2 linked regions of the Medicago truncatula genome follow. The protein of the gene in region 2 interacts with the protein of the main gene of each other region in a pairwise test. Links are inferred from orthologs where the notes say so. Each region holds a gene or a part of one and is shown on either strand. Other genes may lie near its edges.

Region 1 (3,759 bases), about 18 Mb from region 2:
TACTTGAAACCTATCATGGGGAAACCCAGCAAACGAAAACTTATCACACAAGAGGTTAGAAACCGTTGAAAAGTGGCAGAATGAAGCAACTTTTACCCTTTGGGTCGGGACAAGCAGGCTGCTATTATCGTTCAAGCGAGCCTCATCGATGATGAAATACTGGAGAAGGGAAGCACACACATCTCCTGAGAGTCCAAGACCAAGTTGGCACGAAGGTGAAAAGGCCATGAATCAGAAGCCTTTATGATTAACCTAAACTAAAGACCTTGGTTTCTGTCTCGAACTCCATGAGGAGGAAAGACCAAATCCTATGTAAACAGTCATGATATAAGATATGAAGGTGGCATATTAACCAAGGAAGTCATTCATCCAGAAGGAAAAACAACATCATCAACGACGAACTCTTAAGGCCGTCAGGTGAATAATCGAAACTTCCCATAAAGGGTCACTCAAATGAACCCACGAAGGTCTAGGCGCCACCGAACCAGTAGGCTAAGAAGCCTTGGAAGTGGTATCGCCAAAAACCTCGTAGGGTCATTCAAAGCTCAGTGAGATGATGAAATCCAAAGGTACAAAGACCGACAAGACCCTCATTCTTAAAGCGAATCCCCCATGAGACTTTATCAAGCTACAATCTGATTCCCTCAGCCTATAATTTGAGGGGAAACTATTTTGAACTGGCCCTGAGGTCCAATCCGAAGCAGGCGACACCATGCGACGGACACACCATATATCCCACAAGATTATGGTCCAAACTAATAGATCCTAACCTACCTGTTCGGAATTCATGCTACAACTATCCAAGTGAAGGCTTGACAACCAAAACCCTACTTGCCCATTATATATATACCCATGCTTAACCTTGAGTTAGGTTTGACACTTCTTACCTATAATATAGCCACAATCTCTTTTTCACCCTTTACTAACTTGGGCGTCGAAGCACGTGCAGGTACACCACCCTCCTTCGGTGAAGAAGGACTTGCGGTGGATGAGTAAAGCTTAATCCCTCAATATAACAGATATCACCAGACAAACCATCTTCGTAGGTCCAACAAGATAAACATATGATTTATTAGTGAGCTCACAACAATTTGAAGTGGTCTTCAATTGGCTTGAGATATTGGTTATAGATATATTATTTTGAAATCAAACTCTAAGTCAACCTCAAATTTGAATAATTCGATCCAAATCATGATTTTCGTCCACAAGAATCAAGAGGTTTAACAAAAAAGTCAGCTATAAAAATATTATATTGTTGATATTATTAAAAAATATAATTATTTATTTATTTATTATATTTATTATTAAAAATAAATATAATTTGTTATCTCTCAAAAAATAAATAAAATTTATTACAATTTAAAATTGACAAAACTAAAATTTGATAAAAAAAACATAGCTTAAAATTTACACTTTAGTTGATTAATAATGGTGGTATGATAAAAGGGGGCGAAGTAAAGTAAAGCAAGCTAAGAAAAAGCCTGCGTTGTCACTTTGCGTCCATCCAATTCCGATGTTGTAATCAACGAAACAGTCTCAGGTAGTGTGTGGACTCATCCTCCAAACGCCGTCACCGGAGAGGAAGAAGAGCATCTCAGCCACCACCACCACCACTCTTCACCGGAGGAAAACTTCCACTCTTCCTTTCATCTTCACCTTCTCTCCACCTCCACTTCAACAACACCAACAACAACTTTCTAGAACCTTCTCGTAAGTTCCCAAACCCTAGTTTTCAATTTCATTTATTTACTTTTTTTTCCGTACTTCCTAGGGTTTTAGTTTTTCTATTTTTTTTTGGATGAATTTCATATTCATTTTTTGGTATTTTATTTTGAAAAGTGCAATGAGTGCTCTCAGGGCATTGTTTAAGTTAATAAATATAAAATTTTTGTATTGAAAATTTCGGATTTAACTTTATAAAAGTTTAAAATTTATTGTTTCGGGCGCAAAATTTATACTTTTAGCTTTATTAATTAGTGTCCTTAGAGTTCTTGTTAGCGCGACCCTTTTATTTATATGTATTGTTGTGGTTGTTTGTATTTAGTATTAATTAGTATTGGAGTTACTATGAAAATTGGATTTTTTTCGACGATTTTGGTCTCTTTGAATGTGCGAGGTGCTGTCATTATAGTTCCTGAATGTATCGAAATCGCAAACTCCCTCAAGAGACTATAATGACAACGCCTCACACATTCATCAGCCAAAATGGCTATCTTCCAGTCTTTTTGGTCATTGGCATTGTGTTGATAAGAGTGCAAGATTATAACTTTGTGAAAAATGTTTTTGTTTGTGGGTAGGAAAGTGTGATTAAGATGGCTTGGATGGAAGAAAATGATGGGAATGGAAAAGAAAAGGAGTTAGGCGGAGAGAATGGTTTTTTGAAAGTGAAAGAACCATCTGTTAGTGCTGGTGGAGATGATACTGTTTCGGGGAAAAAAAGATCTGAAGTGAAAGACGATATTTCTTTCGCCAACATTTTGCGTTCGAGGAACAAGTTTACGGACTCTCTTGCTTTGTATGAGCGTGTTTTGGAGAGTGATGGTGGAAATGTAGAGGCTCTCATTGGAAAAGGGATATGCTTGCAGATGCAGAATATGGGTAGGCTTGCTTTTGATAGTTTTTCGGAAGCTGTTAAGTTGGATCCTCAGAATGCTTGTGCTCTCACACATTGTGGCATTCTTTACAAAGAAGAAGGTCGCTTGATGGAGGCGGCTGAGGTATGTACATGCTAGATGACTAGTTTTTTCTATATAATTTATTTTTTTATATATATGATGAAATAGCATGGTATTTTTGTTTTCTAATTCCATTTGTAGATGATACAGCAGTGCTTTTGCCACATGGAAAAGTTTTCTTATTCTTATATAAACCCTGTATTTACCCGACTTAGTGGTGACTATAGATTTTATTTCTTGATTGCGTCCATCTTACATAATTTTCTAGGCTTTATATATTAGATTGAGTGAGGCATATAATACGATTCTAATGAGTATGATCGGTTTCTGATTATGCCTTGAATATGTGCTTATTAATGTAGATTGTAAAGTCTTTTTTTAACAGTAGAACACATAGGAAACTTTTTGAACAGACTGATAAAAAATAGATTGAAGTTCTGTGAATTACTTAGTAAGGGCACTTGGTGCCAGCATCCTTGATATTTATATGCATAAAAGAATCGATACATTATTACATTTTAGTTTTACAAGACAACAATAAAGAGTTGAACTATTTCCTATGAATCTAATATATTCAACTATGCATTGACTCCCATAAATCCTGGCAATACATTATTGACTGTAATATTGAAAATATGCAAGTTACATTACATAAAAACCTAATACAATCAAATCATGTGGGGTTCCCTCGTAAATCCTTGCAGTGATATATGTTTGTCCACTTAGATTTAAATGAGAAGATTCTACATATCATAGCCATCATGGTGCCTGATTGCTTGTCCCCTTGATACGAGTTCAATACAGTGTTGATTATGTTTGTCCATACTGAAATCAAGAACCTGAAATAGTCATAGTCATGATTTACATACAAGTGTAGAGAATCTTTTCCTATCCACTTCCATTCAGTTCCTTAGTACCTATGTAGCGAGCAAAGAATTTTCTTCGAGGATTTGCACTATAATATTGAAGAACAGAATGGTATAGGATGAGATAGAATATAATAGAAACAAAGACAGGGGGAACCCGTTACCCACTCTTTCTTAACCAACAGACGTTTCATTTTCCCATATGCAGCATTATTGCT
Region 2 (3,759 bases):
GAAAGAACGCAACGATCGACAACAGTTTCATTTTTAAATTGGGAGAAGTAACATGAATTAGGGCATAATTTATTTTATTGTTATTTTAATTTAATATTATATTTGAATAATAAAAATATTTTTAAAATAAAAGTTAATGAATAAATAAAATTATTAATGATATGGAAATTCAATGCGACCAGACAACTGGTGCCTCATCATTAATGAATAAGGCACATCAGCAAAATTGATTCCAAAATGAGATGGAGGAGAGAAATTTTAAAAAAGATACATTTAAGTAAAAAAATTAAAATAACGACTTTAAACATCAATCATCCCCAATACACATAGAGTATAAGGAAGGTAACATAACATTCTTTTAAAGGAAGGTAACATAACAAATATATATATATATATATATATATATATATATATATATATATATATATATATATATATATATTTATTTTTTTCCTATCAATTTTTAATATTTTTTAAAATGTAAAAACACCATGTAATATAAATATTATTTAAATTTGTGCAAAAAAATAAATATATATTATTTAAATGTATAATCATATCATACCATAATTATAATAAAGTAAATTTATTTGCTGATATGATAATATATTTTTTTTTCCTTCAAAAAATGATAATATATTAAATTGTAAAAAAATGATAATATTGTTTTTTTGGTGGTGGCCGGGATTTAAACCCCGAACCTTGCATATCAATTGAACTAAGCACACGTGGCAAATGATAATATCGTTTATGTAAATTTGCAAACGTTAAATATTTATCTGAATTTCAATTCTATGTAGTAGATATAAATTCAATAAGAAGTAATATAAATATGAAAGTCTGATAGTAAAATATAGTGATGTTACTTAATATGGTTGGGACAGGGCATGCATGCATGCATGAATGATACATACATAGATATAGCACATGAGATGGCGTGGATGTCTGAGAGGAGAGGAAAATATCGCATCCACGTATGCAGTCGATCTAGGCTTCTCATTACAAGGCTGTTAAAGATCTTCTCTCTCCACTTGTTGTATTCTTCTTCTATTCTATCTATCTATCTAACATCTTCATTTCCAAACTATAAACTTACCACAACCCTCTTTCTATCATTTCTTTCCTCCTTTTGATCATTACACAATACTCTCCATTCTCACACTTACATCTTCTCATCCTATCAATTCAGAAAATTTCCAATTAGCTCTACACACAGCTCAGCTAAGCTAACCCAGGTACATATTTTTCTTTCTATTTTTTTTAACACAATTAAACCATCAGTTTTCAGGTTATGTGCTAATTTCTTATTTCAGTTTCATCAAATTTTTTACTTTAATTTCTTCAAAAAATTTCTATTATGAATCTGACTTGTTAGATATATATTTATTTTCTTAATTCTTTTTTTATTTATAAGCCTTTAAATATTTAGCTTACATATTTACTTTTTTATATTCTGTAAATTTCATTTTGCTCTGTTTACCAGGACTCTGTTTCAGATTCATCCCTATCTTCATCATTTCAATTTTTTAAATTAACATTTTTCACAGTGAAAATAAATTTAGAAATCAATAACAATTTTGTTTTAAAGTTTGCAGATTCAATCTCAACATAGCAACCTAGTAGTTATTGTAGTGAAATAGCTACAATTTTCTATGAGATGCATTTGTTTGTCTTATTCTGTCAAATGAAAAAAATTTGAATTATTATTTTTTGGTGGATGATGATGAATTGGATACTAAGATGAGTTTGGTAACACAGGATTTAATACTTGATTGGTATCATGTTTTGGATGGATTTGGGATAAAATTGCTTTTCATATATAATCAGAAGCTAAAGGATTCAAGAGTTGAAAGTTTTTGATGACTTCTTCTTCTATGGCTGCTACAAGTGAAAGGTGGATTGACCGTCTTCAATTTTCTTCATTATTCTGGCCTCCCCCACAAGATGTTCAGCAAAAAAAGGTATCATTTTAATCTCTTACCATGTTTTAGGAAAGTTATTTTCTTTACTTTTTTCATGTATATGTATTTTTTTATTAAATTTTTATGAGTTTTAATATAAAGTTTGCCTTAAGGACATGATGGGATGGAAGGATCCTAATTATTATTATTTTGTTGAGTTTGAAGATTAGAAAAAGTTTTAAATATGCATCTAATCATATTTTCACAAAATATCGCTTTGTTATATTACTTCATAAAATATCTTCACAAATATCTAATGATGAGATACGATTGGATGTATGTGTAAACACTAAAACATTTTTATAGTTAGTGTATCGTTTTTAAACTCACTCTATTTTGTTTAATGATCCAATGTTTGATAAAAATCTTTTAGAGTTTATTCCAAAAAAATCTTTTAGAGTACTAGGGAATTGAAAATTTTATATCGGTATTCTTCAAGAGGAGTAGCAGATATGGAGATGTTGTTAAAGAGACATATACATACAACGTCACACAAACATATGTAAATAATACATGATGATGTGATGTGATATTTCAGAATCTATGCATATGCTACAATCAGCAGGTCTTGGCGTTGGATGAAGATCAGACAAATACATATTTTGATTTTATCAAATTGGATTTAAAATACAACACAGGATATGAACTGTCTGATCTTCATTGAACAACTGAGATCTATCGACAGCAGGAATAATTTGTTTTGTAACTTTCTAGTTATGGCAATTGCAAACTTTGAAGTAAAACAAAGTGTCCCAGAAATGGGGTGATATAAGCATTGACTTTGTGGGGCCAATTTGATTACAGTTTTAGCAAACATTTACAAGAAAAGAAAAGTTGAAGTAATCTTACAATCAATTATGAATTTTCTAAATAATAGTTTCTTGCATAAGTTGAAATTAACTTTTGCACCTTAACCTTTTCAAAACACGCTGCATATAACTTCTCCATAAGCAGTCATAAACTTATAAGGACTTTTTTTATAAGTTAAGAGTCAATTACTTATCTCAGCTGATGCTTCCACTAGTTAGAGCTAATTCTGACTGAGCCGCAGTGTTTTGTCAATGTGGTTTCACACAAGTTTCCCGCGTATTGACAATCTTTTCTAAATGTATCTTGCTAGGTAGAAAGCAGCAGTGTTTTGATCATTTGTTATGCTGAAAATAATTGTTTCTTATTCCATATGAAAGCATTTTATGGCTTCTAGAATATTGGAAGCTCACTGTAACTCCATTTCATTGGTTTATATGATGTTGTTTTCTGCTTTTCCCAGGATCAAATTGCTGCATATGTTGAGTACTTGATTCAGTTTACATCAGAACAGTTTGCTGACGATATTGCTGAGGTACACTTCTATTTACTTATTAAAATTGTGATTCTTATTTTTTGTGGTGTTGTTTTTGACATGAGAGATCCAAGAGTTTTTATTGAATGTCACTCACTGTTCTGTATTACTTTGACAGTTGATCCGCAACCGTTACCCGTCGAAGGAAATTATTCTCTTTGATGACGTTTTGGGTATTTATGCTTAATCCCATGTTAGTTTAAATCATGCTTGAGTCGACAAGAATATCACTCTTTCTACTTTATGTGTGCTAACTTCTCTATGTATTTACTTGTACATCCAGCAACATTTGTCCTTCATCATCCAGAGCATGGGCATGCAGTTGTACTTCCTATTATTTCGTGTATTATCGATGGTACACTAGTCTATGATAAGACTAGTCCTCCATTTGCTTCTTTGATATCTTTAGTCTGCCCAAAAGATGAGGTATAAATATAATCCTTGCCCGGTATTCTT

What was found. The genes of interacting proteins can lie anywhere in the genome.
Region 1: the proteins of protein GIGANTEA (region 2) and probable UDP-N-acetylglucosamine--peptide N-acetylglucosaminyltransferase SPINDLY interact in binary tests that used the Arabidopsis thaliana proteins (3 or more experiments, as listed by UniProt). The link is inferred for Medicago truncatula from reciprocal best matches to the Arabidopsis thaliana genes GI and SPY.

The regions. Positions count from the first base shown.
Region 1 is NC_053042.1:29,879,967-29,883,725, reverse strand, and holds the start of probable UDP-N-acetylglucosamine--peptide N-acetylglucosaminyltransferase SPINDLY, read left to right. Parts: upstream 1-1,396; 5' UTR 1,397-1,700; exon of another isoform or gene 1,701-1,710; intron 1,711-2,297; exon of another isoform or gene 2,298-2,302; 5' UTR 2,303-2,312; coding exon 2,313-2,717; intron 2,718-3,759. UniProt on the Arabidopsis thaliana protein: Probable O-linked N-acetylglucosamine transferase (OGT) involved in various processes such as gibberellin (GA) signaling pathway and circadian clock.
Region 2 is NC_053042.1:47,811,233-47,814,991, forward strand, and holds the start of protein GIGANTEA, read left to right. Parts: upstream 1-1,036; 5' UTR 1,037-1,235; intron 1,236-1,758; 5' UTR 1,759-1,859; coding exon 1,860-1,961; intron 1,962-3,229; coding exon of another isoform or gene 3,230-3,231; coding exon 3,232-3,303; intron 3,304-3,421; coding exon 3,422-3,476; exon of another isoform or gene 3,477-3,496; intron 3,497-3,586; coding exon 3,587-3,729; intron 3,730-3,759. UniProt on the Arabidopsis thaliana protein: Involved in regulation of circadian rhythm and photoperiodic flowering. May play a role in maintenance of circadian amplitude and period length. Is involved in phytochrome B signaling. Stabilizes ADO3 and the circadian photoreceptor ADO1/ZTL.